Schizosaccharomyces pombe: one gene and its partners. The gene in region 1 interacts genetically with each later gene. Each region holds a gene or a part of one and is shown on either strand. Other genes may lie near its edges.

Evidence for each region. Genes that interact genetically often act in the same process or in processes that back each other up.
Region 2: mutations in plb5 (region 1) and SPOM_SPBC2G5.01 together harm fitness less than expected from each alone (positive genetic interaction), as found in Schizosaccharomyces pombe (one large-scale study listed by BioGRID).
Region 3: mutations in plb5 (region 1) and hac1 together harm fitness less than expected from each alone (positive genetic interaction), as found in Schizosaccharomyces pombe (one large-scale study listed by BioGRID).

The regions. Positions count from the first base shown.
Region 1 is NC_003421.2:1,739,999-1,746,513, reverse strand, and holds plb5 (phospholipase Plb5), read left to right. Parts: upstream 1-3,054; coding exon 3,055-4,926; 3' UTR 4,927-5,312; downstream 5,313-6,515. Other genes in the region: nar1 (iron hydrogenase), read left to right, coding at 1-220; wtf antidote-like meiotic drive suppressor Wtf16, read left to right, coding at 5,866-6,004, 6,172-6,417, 6,467-6,515.
Region 2 is NC_003423.3:2,573,581-2,578,938, reverse strand, and holds SPOM_SPBC2G5.01 (Ca(2+) binding protein), read right to left. Parts: upstream 2,378-5,358; 5' UTR 2,319-2,377; coding exon 1,194-2,318; 3' UTR 1,071-1,193; downstream 1-1,070. Other genes in the region: ckb2 (CK2 family regulatory subunit protein), read left to right, coding at 1-622; cyb502 (cytochrome b5), read left to right, coding at 3,511-3,658, 3,843-3,996, 4,045-4,117; Ragulator-Rag complex subunit Lam1, read right to left, coding at 4,452-4,662, 4,725-4,802, 4,846-4,941, 4,994-5,028, 5,069-5,110.
Region 3 is NC_003423.3:1,205,910-1,211,926, forward strand, and holds hac1 (2-hydroxyacyl-CoA lyase Hac1), read left to right. Parts: upstream 1-2,765; 5' UTR 2,766-3,055; coding exon 3,056-4,717; intron 4,718-4,768; coding exon 4,769-4,813; 3' UTR 4,814-4,947; downstream 4,948-6,017. Other genes in the region: SPOM_SPBC725.03 (pyridoxamine 5'-phosphate oxidase), read left to right, coding at 1,131-1,904; npp1 (nucleotide pyrophosphatase), read right to left, coding at 4,986-6,017.

The DNA of each region.
Region 1 (6,515 bases):
CCCCTCTGTCGAAAGAATTGTCTCAGCCAGAGATTGGATGCAACAAGTTGAGAAACTGTACTATGAACCCGGTACCAGGTCTGTAGATCAATCCGCAGTATCCTATATGTTAGAACAATGGGTCAAAGATCCTACGCTGACACCCAAGTTTCTTCACACATCCTATCGTGCAGTGCAAACAGATAATGATAATCCCTTATTGCTGGCCAATAAGTGGTAAAAATAATTAAAAGAAGGAAAATTTATGGGTTTTTTATAATTGTTTATTGGGAATTTAATAGGTTTTGGCTATTTTGGGGAAATAAAAATTTGAAATTAATTGATTAGTGAAGAAGTTATACGCGAATCTTTAGTTGGCTAATATGTGATTCTTCATACATGCTTGATAGGATCCTAGAAGTACTTTACTTCTGAATATTTCATGTGAATTCATTTCTCATTGTATTTTTTAGATTCGCAAGATTTCAATTCATTACCGATATCCGGTATATTATCAAATAATTTACATAACAATAATGATAACTCCATTATCATCCTACACATTTAAAGAATACACTGGTAAAAACAATCATTTCCTCTCAATAGTACTTTTGAATGTGTTTTAAAAATCTAAGTGTATCCATTTCGTAAATAGAGAGTTTCACTTTGAATATTATTTCTATTTTCTTTTAGGGATTTCTAGTTGAAAAAAAAAAGCGCTTCATATAATTTTAATCAATGAAGAAGATAAATTGTTTTAAATACGAAATCTCATACAACTTCATCCTTCAGTAAATTTTTTACCAAAGTTGCTCTTGGTCGCACATCTTTAAAGGTAGCCTCAGCTATAAGACCATAAACAAAAAATCTATAGAGGCATTGTAAAGAGATAAGCAACTTCGAAGTTTTATACACCAAACACAAGTAGTTATCAGAGTTTTCCATTTAGTTTAATTTAATTTGGCTAACTATATATTACACTTAGGGAGTATTCAGCTGTGCGACAAATTTCCACAATTACGCATATCTAGTTTATCACTCCTTAAGTTGGTATTTGTGATTTTGGACGAGTTGTTGCTTAACTTGTATTGCGAAACTTACTATAATACAGTATTCGTTGACCTTAATACCTCAACTGCCTTTGCTACGCTAAGGATTCATCACATACCGATGACACTTCAGTAGTTCTTTAAATTTATTTAAGACGTACAAGCCAGTGCATAATCTAGGTTTACAAAACTCTTTGTTATAGCTCCTTAGACACGGGAACTAAGCAAAGGAGGTATACAGTCTGGATACACGGGAACTCTTAAACAAAGTGTAAAATAATGTATCTCTTAATAACTCTGTCGAAATGGTTATATATCACATTGTGAGCTTGTTACAATACCTTATAGCTTTGCATTTAGTTCAGTGCAGTTTCTTATGTTTGTGTTTTGGGTTTGTAAAGTATGATAAAACGAGAGAGATATTTTGACAAACTGATGAAATTCAAGATCTACTGTATCAGCTTATAACTGGAATAGAAAGAAAGAATATAAAGGCTACAATGTAGCCATGTGCGGTCAACGTTTAGACTGCCGATCTTATGACCTAACTAAAGCGATCGCTATTCAGATCCATTTCTGCTTGTAGGGATGAGACTTTGTAGAATAGCAAATCTGTAAATTAACAAATCTTCAAATTTTGTTGCATCAAGCAATAACTTCTACTCTATCTGTTTCTATCAATGGTTTTTCATATCTCGAATTGAAATATTTCCAATGTGAATCAACTAAAAACATCGCACCCCATTACCTTATTGAATATTCGAATTTGGGGATTTCCTAGAAGAGTTGGACATTAAATGACGTTAATAGAAGTAAAAAAAAAATAGAAAGTCGTTTCATCATGGACTTGTCGATGATTTGCATTACCAGACAATTTTACATCCGTGAGTTCGCAGCAATCGGGTTGGTATCCGTTTATAAATTTAGCCGTTGATATTCATCCCGTCATTTAAAGCTGAGCCTAGGTTGATCTAAATATTCCATTATAGAATCGCTGAAATATTTATTGAATAGGGCATAAATGGTACCCATGAATGCTAATGATAACTAGGCAATCCAACTCCAACTGGCATCTAAAGACTTAGTAATATGACCACCATTTCATAATCTCACGGTGCTACATATAGAAAATCGTTAACATCATAGATGGCATCTTCGGAGTTCCTTCTAGTCCACGCCGAATTGCGGATCAAGGTAAGCAGATCATGAGAAACGTGGGTCATGCGAAAAGTGAGTCTACAAGTGAGTTCATCCTCAAAAGCCTATATATATTATATATATAGCACTTGGGAATAAATGAATAAAGGTTGCAACTTTAGTGATTGAATCGGTAAATCCCGTTAAAACAAACAATCAGTGATTCATCCTTCTTTAGTGTGATCTGTGTAGGTAAGCAAGCAATTTACAAATGCCTAGAAAGTTGGCAAGGCCGGTTTGTGTTTGGCAAGGAAATGAGCAAAAACGTCTGTCTATTCCTAAAACGGACGGTGGGTAAGCAAAATCCCAACTTGAAAATTTGAATTGGGATTTTTTTATTTCAATGGAAAAAGATAGGTTAAATCATAAAAAAGAACATGATATTATTTTCTTGGAAATATGTCGAAATCCTGTCTCATCCCAACCTTTTCGACAAAACTAGGTGTCCTGATGGAAATATAGTTTAAGCTCATCGCTTGCCGAACCGCTCCATCAAATGCTTAATTTGCTTTTATTGACATTGTAGCTCGACGGACTCTCTAGATATCTAAATATTTTTCGTTGAACTTACTAGATTGGGAATTGACAATTGAAAGCTCTTTAATTGATTACTTTCATTGTCTTGATTTTTTTCATTCTCAGAAAATTTCAAAAAATTCAGACTTTAGAAACTCGCTGTTTGTTAATCACTCTCTTGCTTTTTTTGGATTCAGAGAAAATTGAAAAATTCGAACTTTTTTTAAAAACGAATCATTGACCGTATTCTATCCTTTTATCCTTTATTAAACCAACCTTGCTTTTTTAATTTTTATTTTATTTTTTTTTAAACATGAAATTATCTTCCTTTGGATTATTTCTCGCTCTCCAGCTTTTGCCGGCCTTGGGCCTTCCTTCTCGTATCGATGAAGTAGACGTTTCAGACCCAGAACTAATCGGATTATTGAAACCCGATAACGTTGATAAGCCAGCAAACTCTATACCCCTTTCCAAGCGTAGCACAAGCCCATCGTATGCGCCTTATACTGTTGCTTGCCCTAGTGGCTCTCTGCTTCGACCTGCCTCCGATGGCCTTAGTACTGGTGAACAAGAATTTGTTGACAAACGTGTCTCAAAGGTTAACAGTGCATTGGAAAGCTTTATTTCAAAAACCGGCTTAAAAATCGATACAAAAAGTGTGCTGAATGACACAGATGGCCCTCGTTTGGGAATTGCAATCTCTGGCGGTGGATTTCCTGCCATGTTAACGGGAGCCGGCGCTATTAATGCATTTGATGCTAGAAATGGTAACACTACGTCTCTTGGTGGTATTCTTCAATCTTCCATGTACCTTACTGGTCTTTCTGGTGGCTCTTGGCTTGTGGGATCTGTTGCGGTTAACAACTTTGCCAATATTACTTTCTTGCACGACGACGTTTGGAACCTGGACCACAGTCTCTTCGCTCCCTATGACGACGCTTTTGAGAACTTTTATATTTACCAAGAGTGGTTTGAGCAAGTTCTGCAAAAGAAGAATGCTGGATTCAATGTCTCCATTACTGACCTTTGGGGCCGTGCTTTGGCTCTTAAGCTTGTCAATCCTTTGACTGGAGGTGCTAATACTACATTCTCTAGTGTAACAAATGAAACGTGGTTCCAGGATGGTGAATTTCCCTTTCCCATCATCATTGCTGATAATGTCATAGAGGGTGAAACCGTAATCCCTTTGAACGACACTGTCTTTGAATTTACACCCATCGAATTTGGTACTTGGGACACTGGGGTGGAATCATTTATACCCATGGAGTATACAGGTACACACCTTATTAATGGCATTCCTCTTAATGAATCCTGTGTGCGTAATTTCGACAACGCTGGTTTCCTCATGGGTACCTCTTCAAATGTTTTTAGCGGTATCCTTCCTGCGACAAATGCATCACTCACCGCTAGTAATAATACCTTTAACAATGCTGTCCTTAGTTTCCTCGAAATGCTTGCCGAAGATCAATTGGATGTAGGTCTTTATCCCAACCCTTACCAAGGTTATGGAAATGCTTCCAATACAACCACTACCAATCCCTTGGAGCCGTATCCCATTATTGAATTAATAGACGGTGGCTCAGATAGTGAAGGTATTCCCTTTTGGCCCTTGCTTCATCCACAAAGAGACGTAGATGTTATTTTTGCGATTGACGGGGGTTATCAAAGCGCAACGAGTGGATGGCCAGATGGATCGTCCCTAGTTTCTACATATGAAAGAGTTTTAGCCACTAACTCCTCTGGCGTTCGTGGTTTCCCATATATTCCTGATACCAACACATTTTTGGCTCTTGGTTTGAACACTCATCCAACTTTCTTCGGTTGCGACGGTAGAAACACCACAGCCGGAAACCATACCGTTAATGACGATACTCCTCCTCTTGTAGTTTACTTCCCCAACTATCCTTGGACTATGTATGCAAATGTCACTACCTACACTGTTCAACTGGAAGATACTTTGTCCAGTGGAATGATTGAAAATGCCGCTGTTGCTGCTACCCAAAATAACAGTGATTCATTTGCTGTCTGCGTTGCATGCGCTCTCGTTCAACGTTCCTTGGAACGCAAAAACATGTCGACTCCAAGTCAATGTGCTTCTTGCTTTAATCAATACTGTTGGAATGGAACAATTGCAAGCACGACCGTTACTACATATGCACCTACAGTTCTGTCAGCCAAGATTTAGTATGCAACGCTCACGACAATCCATTTTGTTCGATCTTTTCCATGGTAGCATAGAGCGTAAAGCATTGAAACACTAATGTTCATATATTCACTAATCTAAGAACCAGCAAAAGTCGGCTCTTTACTTATTGCTCATAAACAACGAGAAGGAAGATATAGTGAATAAATATAGGAATGAAAAAAGCTTCAAGAAGCCATTAACACCATCGAATTTGAATTCCTAAGCTCTAAATGACACTAATTTATGTAACCTTTGCAGAAATGTTTCAACTCAAATACTGTGTCAGCAGTAGTCCAGCACGCTACGATATACTACGTTGCGTAGCACTATATGTCATGCTAAAATATACATAACATTAGTTTATTGATGATTGTAGCTGTTTGTCCATCTATCTACACAAGTTACACATTGGTAGCAACTAGAGAAAAATATAAATAGAGCTACCACTGAACCTCATTCCTCAGTTCAGTTATTGGCTATATCGGTGACCGATACTACTAGACTTTTTATAACAATAAATATAATATTATTAGTTAACAAAGCGCATACCGCTATGTTGTAAATCCCTAGAAATCTCGCCGCAGTGCTATATATCGTTAAACCAGATACCAAACTGCGTAGCTGACATTATAATTATACTACAACGTTTGCTTCTCAAAAACGTTTTAAGGAAAGCTAAGTTAGGGTAAATAAAAAGGGCAGTGACAAAATAAATGTGTCAGAAGCAATTGCATTTTGAAAATGAGTTTTCGAATTTTAACTTTTACCTACTATTATTAAAGAGAGAAGTCTTCTTTGAAAGAAATTGCTCGTTTTTTATGTTGAACGGCTGAAATTGGGCTCCAGAGTGAAAATTCTTGATTTCGCTGTTTCGTTTGTCGCAATTATAGCAATTAATTCGCGCATGTATTTTATTAAATAAAGAATGATCTTGAAAAAATGAAGAATAATTACACTTCCTTGAAAAGTCCTATAGATGAAGGAGATGAATCGAAGACAGGACATGAAATCGATTTGGAAAAAGGGCTACTTCCAGAATATGATTCAGAGGAAGAGGGCGCACTGCCTCCATACTCGGGTAAGAATTGTAAATAATAAGAAAGGAATTACTCAATTGAAATTGAAGCTTGCCATCGTAGTCAAATTGCATGCTTTGGTCATTGTTTACAGTTGGCCATGCAATGCACACATTTTAATACATGTTCTTTCTTTACTAAAGTCTTTCAATCATATTAATTTAAACAGATCACGCACGTGTAAGCAATTCTCCTAACACACATAGAGAAAACAATCCTTCCAGGTCGACAGATAATTCTTCCCCTTTCTTGATAAAACTGCTAATATCATTCACACCAATCTATGTACTGAATGTACTCGCAATTTGTTATCTAAAGTATAAGGACGCTTTCTTTAAAAATTATGGTGCAGCGGAATGGACATTATTTGGATTTTGGTGTCTTGTTTGCACTTTGGCTTTAATATTCTTGACTTGTAAGTGAGACAATGGGGTTATTCTTACCTTCAGTCACTAACTCATTAGACTTCTATGAAACTTGGACCAAGGCAGTTAAAGTAACTGCGGTCGGCTT
Region 2 (5,358 bases), on another chromosome or scaffold:
ACCAGGTCGTGAATACTTTGTCGAGGTGAAGGAAGATTTTATCGAAGATCTTTTCAATTTAACCGGTCTTAATTTGGCTGTCCCTTTCTATAATGAGGCTTTGGACCTAATTCTCGATCGGACAGCTCCTGACACATTGGAGAATTTTGATATGGACGTAATTGAAACGAGTGCTCAAATATTGTATGGTTTGATCCATCAACGTTATATTATTACCCGGACAGGATTACATCAAATGGCGGAAAAATACAGCATGGGTATTTTTGGTTGCTGTCCTCGTGTAAATTGCTGCTATACTCATGTTTTGCCTGCAGGACTTTCTGATATAGTTGGAAAAATGCCTGTAATGTTATTTTGCCCTAATTGTCTTGATTTGTACGCTCCTTCTAGTTCTCGATACAAAAACATAGATGGCTCTTTTTTTGGTGCTACTTTTCCTCATCTGTTTTTTGAAAGCTATCCTGAACTGAATCCTAAGCGCTCAATCCCTTGTGGTAAAATTTATCAGCCTAGAATTTATGGCTTTAAAGTCAGCGAATTAAGTAAAACAGGACCTCGAATGCAATGGCTTCGTATGTACTTGGAAGATAGTGGTAGCGATTCGGAGTCTGAAAGTGATTAAAAACGATGCTTCATCTTATTTATGCCATAACCTAATGGTTCGTTCCTCTAAGCCTTAATAATACTTTTATTCCTATAAAATATCCTTGAAGTTTCTTTTCCGTCAAATTCAATTATCTAGTTGATGTCTCATTGCTTTGCATATAAGAAAAAACAGAATTTGGTATTTTTTAATATAATGTCCGCGAGGCATTTGAATTAGTAAATTCACACTAAAGAGCTTGATGAACTTCCAAAGGATTTAATATTGGTTACCTTTAAAAGTTGGGTAAAAAAAAGTTCCTTATTTCTTGTTGATTGATAATATACTTTGTTCATCAATTGAAGTAGCAGACTAATCATACATGTAAATTAATACAAGACCAAAAAATAAGGGTGCGCAAGTGTAACCAAAGGTGTGCTTCCTCAATGAATCCGATAATTCTTAACCATTGCATACATACCTTACAACTTAAATACATTTAATTGACAATAATGAAAAAAATTAAATAAAAAAACAAACAAACAAAACTGCTTTTGTATTAGAGAGAAAAATAGATGTTAAGAGAAATCGAAGTTTAGCTAAATACATTTTACATCTTCTTTGCGCGTCTTCTCATTTTGCGTTGACGTTCCCTCTCCATGCGCTTTTTTTGATCAGACTCAGAAAGCTTAGAAATATCGCCAGAGGATTTAACTTTTTTCTTGGCGGCCTTAGCGGCTGAAGCATGAACAACTTGCTCAAAGGCGAGTTTACGGGCAGAGGTAAGTTTCTTCGAAACTTCTGGTCGCCATTGGAATTTTGGACAACTATCAGCTACCAGCAACAAGGAATTAAACAATGCACTTCCCGTAGCATTGCTCAAACCAGAAAGGGATGTGATTTTTTTAATTCTGATTGAAGCTTCGATACGAGGCTTCGTAACATAATCCTTTTCGGTAGCAGGAGGGACTGAAGGTTGATCAGTAACGATGAAATACTCAAGGTTTTCAATACACTCGTTAATTGAAGACATAAACTCGGGAATTTCGAAAATAGCTTGACTACACTCATTGTTCTCAGACATTAAAACATGAGTTTCCGGTAAGTAAGGAGAGGAAGAAATGCGGGTAAAGCTTAAGTCGTAACGTATTTCACGAAGAATGCGCATACAGTCTTTATGAACAATGGCGAAAACAAAACGCTCAGCCTTCAAGTTCTGGTCTGCAAGAGTTAAATCGAATTGAAAACGGTCAGCAACAGGTAAAACAGAAGACATAACGTTTCCCAGGAGGATTTCAACGATTTGATTAAGAGAGTAGGCTAACAAATCTTGACGAGGAAAAAGCTGAAGTGTTGTATACACATTCTTCACGTTGAGACGTCCAGTAAGATAGGAGCTAAACTCGGTAGGAGAGTCATAAATGATTGGAGAACTGTTAGGACCTGGTCCATATTGTGCAAACTGTTGGCGAAAGCTAGACTGTAAGGAACCATACCAGCGAGAAGCGATTTTTTGGTTTTTCTTCTTTTGCGTGATAAAAGAAAAAACATAAAGGAAAAAACAAGCAAGAATAACAAATTCAAGACGGAAATCTCTCCAATCGACATGCTTGAACATTCCTGGATTCTCCAACTCGGGATTCATATTGTAATCCTCTTCGTATTCATCTTCCTCATCAGCCAGTACTCCTTTAGCTAGTGCAAAAACTAGAAACAAAAGCTTTTTATTAATCATGGTTCCTCCGCTTGTAAATTTACTGACTTTCGTGAAAGAAAAAAGGGCACTGGTTGTACGAAGTGAGATTGAACGTGGTGAAATAAGTAACGAACGAGACAAGCCGGTTCCTAGAGTGGGAAGATTAACTAGTGTATATAGATAGTTTAAAATAAGTCGGTAACCAGAACATGTCGCGATGGTGTAGTTGGGAGCATGACAGACTGAAGATCTGTTGGTCATCGGTTCGATCCCGGTTCGTGACACTTTTTTTGACGTGGAGAAAACACTTTGTACTAGTTATATCCAACATAATTTTGAGGTTTTTTCTTTTTACTTATTTTTATTTTTCTAGTTGCTATATGTGAAGCAAAATTAGATAGCTAACGGATGCTCAAGAATATTGTACTGGCACTTCAGCTTGTTATTGCAAAAGTTACAAAAACAGTCTGCAAAGACAAACAAGCATAGAAGCTCAGTTGGTCTAAATGTATATTACTAGATCGGTTCTGTAATTATTGGTGTTTTATTAGCAATGAATGGTGCTTTCAACTGAATATATCCGACAGAGAAACTATATGGCGTTACAATTTTCAAAGGTAGTAGTTTATCTATTTGGTAAATGATAGTTGTACGAACTGCTACGCATTTACTCAAAATCTTAGTTACATTCATGCGTTCTATATAAAAGAAAGTCATTTTGTACTTGCTTGTTTACGTATACGATCGGTTAATCTCAACAAAGCAAATAAAAGGAAGCTAGTCACCCTGTTGTACTTTATACCTAGGACATATTTTTTTTTTCAAACATGTAACATACCGTTACTGAAGAATGTCATAAGCTTAACGCTAGCTAAATTAAGCTTGTATCAAAGTTGCGAGGGATATTGAGATCTATCGTTATTAGATCATTATAGATAAAAAGATATAAATGAGAAATCCTCCATACCTCAACAATAATTGTTTATTGGTAAAAAAATATTATTCCTATCCACTTTTTGGTTAAGCAGAAAATCTGGCAGAATTTTGTACATGCCGCTTTGCCTATCATTGGCTGCTAAATAAATTCCTTGAGCTCGTTTGTTCGATTATTTACTACTACCACACGATACCCTAACGTGAGATTTTCTCTACTAGCGATATCAAAACTTTCGCAAACTTTTTCCAACTCCCCTCAACACACGATTTTTATTATATAGATTTATTTATCAAGATGTCGGTGAAATACTTTGAACCTGAGGAGATTGTGGAGCACAATAATTCCAAAGACATGTACATGGTCATTAATGGAAAAGTTTACGACGTTAGTAACTTTGCTGATGATCATCCTGGAGGCTTAGATATAATGTTGGACTATGCAGGTAAATAATTCGACAAAACTTTTGTAGAAGTAAACACCATATTATGTTGGAGACTGCTATGCTCAAAAGCGATAGTATACTTTTAATCGCTATCGTTTCATTCATCAGTTCTTCACTTGTGTGCCTTCTTGATTAAAACATTGTATACGGCTTTTTAAACATGTCCACTAACTATTTGTTTTAGGCCAGGACGCCACTAAGGCCTATCAGGACATTGGACACTCTATTGCTGCAGATGAGTTACTAGAAGAGATGTATATTGGTGATTTAAAACCCGGAACTGAGGAGAGACTCAAAGAATTAAAGAAACCTCGTTCATTTGATAATGATACGCCTCCGTAAGAAAATGATTTGTGTACGATGGTTGTTTCATGCTAACAGAACAGATTGCCTCTATTAATCGCATTAATTGTCCTGCCAGCCATAGCAGTAATTGTGTTTGTTAAGCTTAACAAATAAACTTCGAAGGCTTGCCTATTTATTTTCCTAATCTTTATACCTTCTTTTGTTTTTCGCGATGTTAGTATCACTCAATATTATTATGGATAGCAATTGTTTTCAAGGCTTCTAAAGAAACAAAATAAACGTTAACTTAGAAAAATATATTTCTTAAATGTCTTCCTTCAGTAAGAGAGCTCTTAAAAACAATGAGTTCAGCTCGTAACATGTAATTAACTCATGGAGATATTAAACAAACCAAAAAAGTATAACAAAAAGATTTAGCTAATAGTAAAGAGGGAAGTATGTAATCAGAAGTGGAATATAACTAATGGAAAAATTAGTTCTATTGGGCTTATGAAGGACTTCCAGTAATATTCGGTTGGACTTTAGATAAATTGATTACCATCTTTCCTTTGATTTCTTTATCACTCAGCTTAATGTTGTTAATATCATCAATCAAAACACCTAGTTTCCTTATTATAAACTCGGTTTCCTGCTCGGTAGGTTTAGCAACATCGTATTTTGGATCTAAATTCAATGAGTCGATTTGATCTAATACCTCCCTATCGCAATCATTATGTTAATATAGTTTCTACTGTATAAAAAGAATTTATCAAAAGCTTACTCATAAATGTTGTCCCGAGGGTCTCGCTGAGGTGCTTCGGTTCTCAATCGTAAAGAAAAGACGTCAATGAATTTATTTCTATTTTCAGTTAACAAAGAAACAGATACCAAAGGCTTCATACTTTGCGACATCGTAAACCTTAGACTCCCATTCTTCCTCTTCTTCACGTTTTCGTAAACTCATGTCTGCTTCGGCAGAAGGAGGAGTCCTTTGAATTCTACGGTCCCGTTAGAAAATCCATTGAAAGAGAAACAACTAATTAGTTTTACCCATCATTATTTAATAATGGTGTTTGTTCATCAATCTATCAACTGTTAAAATCAGTAAAATATCTTTGTACGAACATCATCGGAGTTATTAAATAAAAAAGAACAACAATTCCCCATTATAAAGTAAGCCTGACTGTAGAAAGAAAAACTACTTTCAAATATATCAGCAGTTTCGATAAAAGTAGTAATCTGTTGACGTTACCTTACCGTCAACTGGCCGCGTTTTGTTAGTAACGCAAAATTCGATTCGCTTCATAAAGTCTGAATATGAAAATGGGTGCACTATATAAACTAGGAAGGCTAAGTAAGAATTCGAATTTTTGAAATTTTACAACTAAGGTTAATCAGTAGCTATTACTTCTCTT
Region 3 (6,017 bases), on another chromosome or scaffold:
GACAAGAGAACATTGAAATATTGATTTGTGTGAAACAGCGAAATCAAGTATACCTCGTTAATTAGCGCGGCAAGTAGGATCCTGCGGATTCATAGACGTTCCTTTGGAGGCGAAGCGTTATTAGGATTTTCATACCCGTTGTGCAGCTTTTCGTCGCCTTGTTTTTCTAGAATGATGCGGGATGAATTGAATATGCGGAAGCTACAGATGTGCAAAAACTAGGCATAAACCTCGCTTGCCTTCTTAGTTTGCTAGGCAATGTGAAGCAAATGGTCATAATCCAAGTGATACGCCTGACAGAGACAATTTAATTTGTAAATTATTTTTATCATTGTTTTTATCCTCTGATGTTACAATGTATTCATTGATATCGCATTTCGGCATTCCGATGTTCAACCCCGGTATGCGAGAAGGTGTTGGCCGCTTTTTTCGGTATCAAAGTTGAAATTTTAGATGACTAATCTTATGTTAATTAAAGATAAGAGGACGAAGTTTGCTGAAATCAAGTACAGGTTTTGATTGACTAGGCATCCTCACTAATGGTGTGAGAGAAATCTGTTAGGATATGCAAGCTGTCATTTCTCACTTTTTCAATGTTGGAAACCTGTACACAGACAATGCATACTCTTTTCTATATCAATTTGCAAACTAGATGGCAGCTCATTGTTCTGTGAATAATCAGATTAAGGTACTGAACAACGGAATATGGATTGCAATGTTCTTTGAAGATCTAGAAGGGGAAACCATTTTTGTTAGTTAAAAGTTTTATTTTTTTGTTTTAAGTTACTAGTTATTGTCTTTATTTTCTTATTTTCCTTTCTCTGTGCACTAATATTAAATGATTTTACTCTTACTATTTACCAATTCTCTTGAGCAGATGAAGAGAGGAATATTTTAAAAAATTAGTGTAATCCACGATAACGTACAATTTGCTTTTTCAGAAATCACACACGATTTCGTTAGTAAGTTTAGCCGAACTTTAGAGTTGTGCCTTATACAGATATCTAGAGATCATTTCTGTATAGCGAGCGACCTTTAGTACGACACACTTAGCAAAGTCAATGACGTTTCAGTCAAACAAGTGACTTATATAGGATTCATACGTGCATCCCATTTCATCGTTTGCCAACATGTCCCTCGCTTGGAAAAATGAGTTATTGAAGCTTTTAAAAGAAAATGTCGACTCCAGTGGAGTTATTCATCCCGAATACTTCCAGCTGGCAACTTTACCCACTGGTAATGAAATTTACCCCAGAAATCGTACTGTAGCTATTCGAGGATTTGTCGGTACAGGATGGCATAAACCACGTCCCGATGATGTGCTAGCTACAGATTTATTGGTATTCTCTACGGATATTGCTTCTCACAAAGCTGCTGAGATTGCTGAGCAGCAAAAAAATACATTCCCCTCTGGACCCATACCGAACGCATTTGAAATGTGTGGATGGTTACCAAAGACAATGCAGCAAATTCGTATTTCCGGTCAAATTTGGTTATACACACCAGAACTTGCCGACCGAAATGAATTTCCCGCAGACAAGTTGATCCAGGATCATTTAATAAACAGCAATGGCCGCATTCCCGAAGAATGGTCTTGGGAAGAGGAAAGAAGACGTATTTGGGAGTTACATAGTCCTGAACTTCGCGCTTCCTTTTCTACTCCTCCTTCATACTCCAAATACCAAGGCGATGTGAAGGTGTCACCTTTACCTTCTACCCTCACTGGAAAAGAAGATCCCGGGGTTATTGAAGCTTGGAAGACTGCTTGGGGTAGATTTTCTCTTGTTGTTTGTGAGGCTAACGAAGTCGAGTTTTTGAATCTTACCCCTCCTCCAGGAAAGCGCGTTTTGCACAATAGAGATCTAAACACGAAACAATGGTCCTCCACTCGTGTCAATGTCTAAATGTTTTCCTTTTTTTTCGCACATCCTTTATGAATTGATTGCTCTTGATAAACGTGCAATACTTATGAACTACGAATATTAACTTATAATGATTACTCCTAACATTTTGGTTCTTTTTTTTTGTGGAGTATATGAAAAAGGTCTGATTCCCTCAAATTTGCCTAGCTTACAATTCGGTGGGTTTTGTAGTTGAATTTTTTTTTAGTACTGAAGCATAATACTGAGTACAAACTACAAACTCAGTGTATTCCGAATTTTCTAATGTTTATTTACGTTGTTAAACAACTAAATTATCACTTATCCTATGTCAAATTTCCAATCCGGCCACTTGATGAACTATTTACGTTTATAATAAATAAAAAATTATGAAAATTGTGTGTATTAAAGTACTTACAGGAAGACATTGTAAAAAATTGTTGCGAGATTAAGCAAATAGGCCAACCTACCTGCTAATGATGATCATTTATTAAAAGATCTTACCTGTATAATATTATATTAAGGTTATTACTATATGGCTTGTTTTATTATCTTATATTGTCTTACGCAGGTAGAAATGTAGCAAAAAAAAGGGAATAAAGCACCACATAAGAAACACAATGTCTTATTTGAAGGGACGGTGAATTGCCAAGTCATTTAATTTTATCGAATCAGTATTCATAGAACCGTAAAGGTCCCCGTTGAGTTAAGTGGCATTATTGAATACATGTGTGGATCTTAACTTATTAACGATACAAATTTAAAACCTGTTAACGTATTCCTTACTATACATTAAATACTTTAAGGAATTTTACCAAATTGGCTTATACATTGGATTATTAGTACTCGGTTACATAAGGGATTAGCAATTTCAAATACAGGATTGCTCATCCATCATTTTTTAAGCATTGCTGTTATTTAAGCTCATCTAGATCAGAACTTCTTTTTCTCTCTAAAGTATAGAACACTTGGTTTACAGAGTGACATACACTTCAGTTTGTCAGTTTATTGAGAAATAGGGACGGTATTGCTAGCTACTGGAACCAAACCCACCTTTACTTTGCTTTAGTCTTTTCTTGTTTTCTTCTGTCTTTCTTTTGCATTGAGCTTTTCATCGCTTTTGTTTGGTGAACAATATTATTCAATTTAGAGGTACATATTAATTTGTAATAACAATGTCTATAAGCTTTTCGGAATTGGTAGCTAAGACATTGTTGGACTTAGAGGTTAAAGTTGTTTTTGGCATTGTTGGCATTCCCGTAATCGAAATTTGTGAGGCTATCCAAGCAAGTGGAATTCGGTTTGTCGGGTTTCGCAATGAGCAAAGCGCAGCTTATGCAGCGACTGCCTATGGCTATTTAACTCAGCGCCCTGGGGTCTGTGTCGTGGTAGGCGGTCCTGGCGTTGTACATGCCATGGCCGGTGTTTTCAATTCTAAAACCAATCGATGGCCTTTGCTGCTTTTGGCTGGATCCAGTGAAACATTTCAGCAAAACTGTGGGGCCTTCCAAGAATTGGACCAGGTTTCTTACTTATCACCTCATACGAAATTAGCCGTGCGCCCCCCAAGTCCCAAAATGGTTGTTGATTCCATTCGAAGAGCGTATCGTGTCTCCATGACCGGCACTCCTGGAACATGCTATGTTGACTTGCCAGCAAATTATATTGAATCTACTGTCGATGACTTTCCTAAAGACCCTCTACCCCCAATTCCTAGTTCTCCCAAATGTGCACCTGATCCAACACAGCTTCAGAAGGCTGCATACTATTTAAAAAATGCAAAGGCACCTCTGCTTGTCGTTGGTAAAGGTGCCGCATATGCCTGCGCTGAAAAACAGCTCTTGGAATTTGTTGAACATACTGGCATTCCGTTTCTTCCGAGTCCCATGGGCAAAGGTTTGTTACCAGAATCGCATCCCTTAAATGTGTCTTCGGCAAGGTCAGCTGCTCTTCGTAATGCAGATGTAGTGCTCTTAGCAGGGGCACGTTTAAATTGGATATTTCAATATGGTCTTCCACCAAAGTGGTCTCCTAATGCCAAATTTATTCAAATTGATACCAATGCTGAAACTTTAGGAAACAATGCTGCAGATTTGGATTTAGCAATTTGGGCTGATGTAGGTCTGACAATAGATTGTCTTTTTAAGCTCGTTCAAACTTGGAAGTACAGTGTTGGCATCTCGACCCCTTACCTTCGCACGTTAAATGAAACCCGATCCAAGAATGAGAAAAAGGCTCTTGAATCTCGAAAGTCCAGTATACCGTTGCAAATGAATTATGCTTTGTATGTCGTGAATGAGGAGCTACAAAGCTTATCGCTCAAATCAAAGCGTAATATCACTTGGGTTTCTGAAGGCGCCAATACAATGGACCGGGGCCGTCAGCTTTTAGAAGTAACTCATCCACGTGGTCGACTGGATGCAGGCACTATGTCAACAATGGGAGTTGGTATGGGATATGCTATTGCCAGCGCATTTGCCCATTCATCCGACAAAATAGTGGTAGTTGAGGGTGATAGTGCTTTTGGCTTTAGCGCCATGGAACTGGAAACCGCCATACGCAACCAGCTGGATCTTTTGGTAATTGTAATCAATAATAATGGTGTTTACCATGGATTAGATACTGATGCTTATGAAACTTTACGTGATAATCACCAATTACCGACTACTGCCTTAGGCACTAGTATACGTTATGATCAAATTTGCGAAGCATGTGGTGGTAAAGGTTTCTTTGTAAAGAATGAAGAAGATTTGAGAAGTTCCCTCAGGAAAGCATGGCAAACCTCATCTGTATCTCTCATAAATGTTATGGTGGACCCGGAGGCTGCTCGAAAATTGGTAAGTATTAATGGAATGAATTAGGTATAAGAACAAGCTAACAATCACTAGACATTTGCATGGATGAGCAGTACCAAAGTGAAACCAAAGTTATGACCATCATTTAATTAAAAATAGAAGAAGTGATGTTCTTTTACGATTCTTAAAAATCGGAATACAGTTATTGTTGCTATTCAAATAAAGTCGTTTATTAAAAAAAAGTATTAAATATAATCTAAAGGAAATTAAAAATATTAAAAAATATAAAGATAGTGATAAAACAGCAGAATTAAATAAGCTTAGAGTATGCTTGTTCTATGTCCTTCAGCAACCATTCCTTAGTAGAATTACGATTTCTTCTTAAAGGTAAAGCACCTTCATATGTACCATTATTAGGCTGAGCTGGTAAATCTAATATATGCGAAAGAATGCCATAAATTTCGGTGTTCTGGAACGGTGCAAGCTTCTTTCCCTTAAAATTCTTAAAAGAAGATCCTGAAGCGATAAAAAGTGCTCTCATCACTGGAGACAAATTGTCATAACCATGTACACCCAAAGGCTCATACTCCAACTCCGGTGAATGATCCAGCATCGAGACAAGAGACCATCCAACATCCGGGATCATCCAAACGGGAGCTATTCTTTCATTATTTGAGTAATGCCATCGAGAAGGTATATCTTTCTTTGAATAAACATTCCAATTCTCAGCAGAAGGTAATGACGAGCGAGAATAATTAACAAGACTTTCGTAAATGTACTCATCATCTAAATCAGATTCTCCTCTAAAACCTCCTAACGGCCAAGCATCTCTGTGTGCAACGGCAGACAAATTAAACATATTATCCAGCCAGATAAGACGATTATCGGATGTAGGCGCCATTCCATGATCACTTAAAAAAATAATGTTGACATGCTTATCGATATTTCTTTTCTTCAGTCCTTCAATTAGTTCACCAATTACGATATCAACTTCTTGAATTATGATATTCAGTTCAGGCGAATCCGGTCCAAATGCGTGCCCAACCATATCTACATGGGGAGCATAAGCAAGTAATAACTGAGGGCGGTCTTTATCAGGAAGATCCAGCCATTCGAGTATTCTATCTTTCTTTTCTCTTAGAGTCGTATCAAAATTGAAACCATCCGAATAAGTAGGTCTGTAACCATGATTCTCCACTTCATTTCCAGGCCACATATGTACCGCTGATCGAACGTTATTTCGCTCAGCGTTGACCCATATAGGCTCCCCTTTATCCCACCAAGTTGGGTCTTTGTTACATTCAGGCATACTGTTGACAAATTGCTTCCCAGTTACAGGATC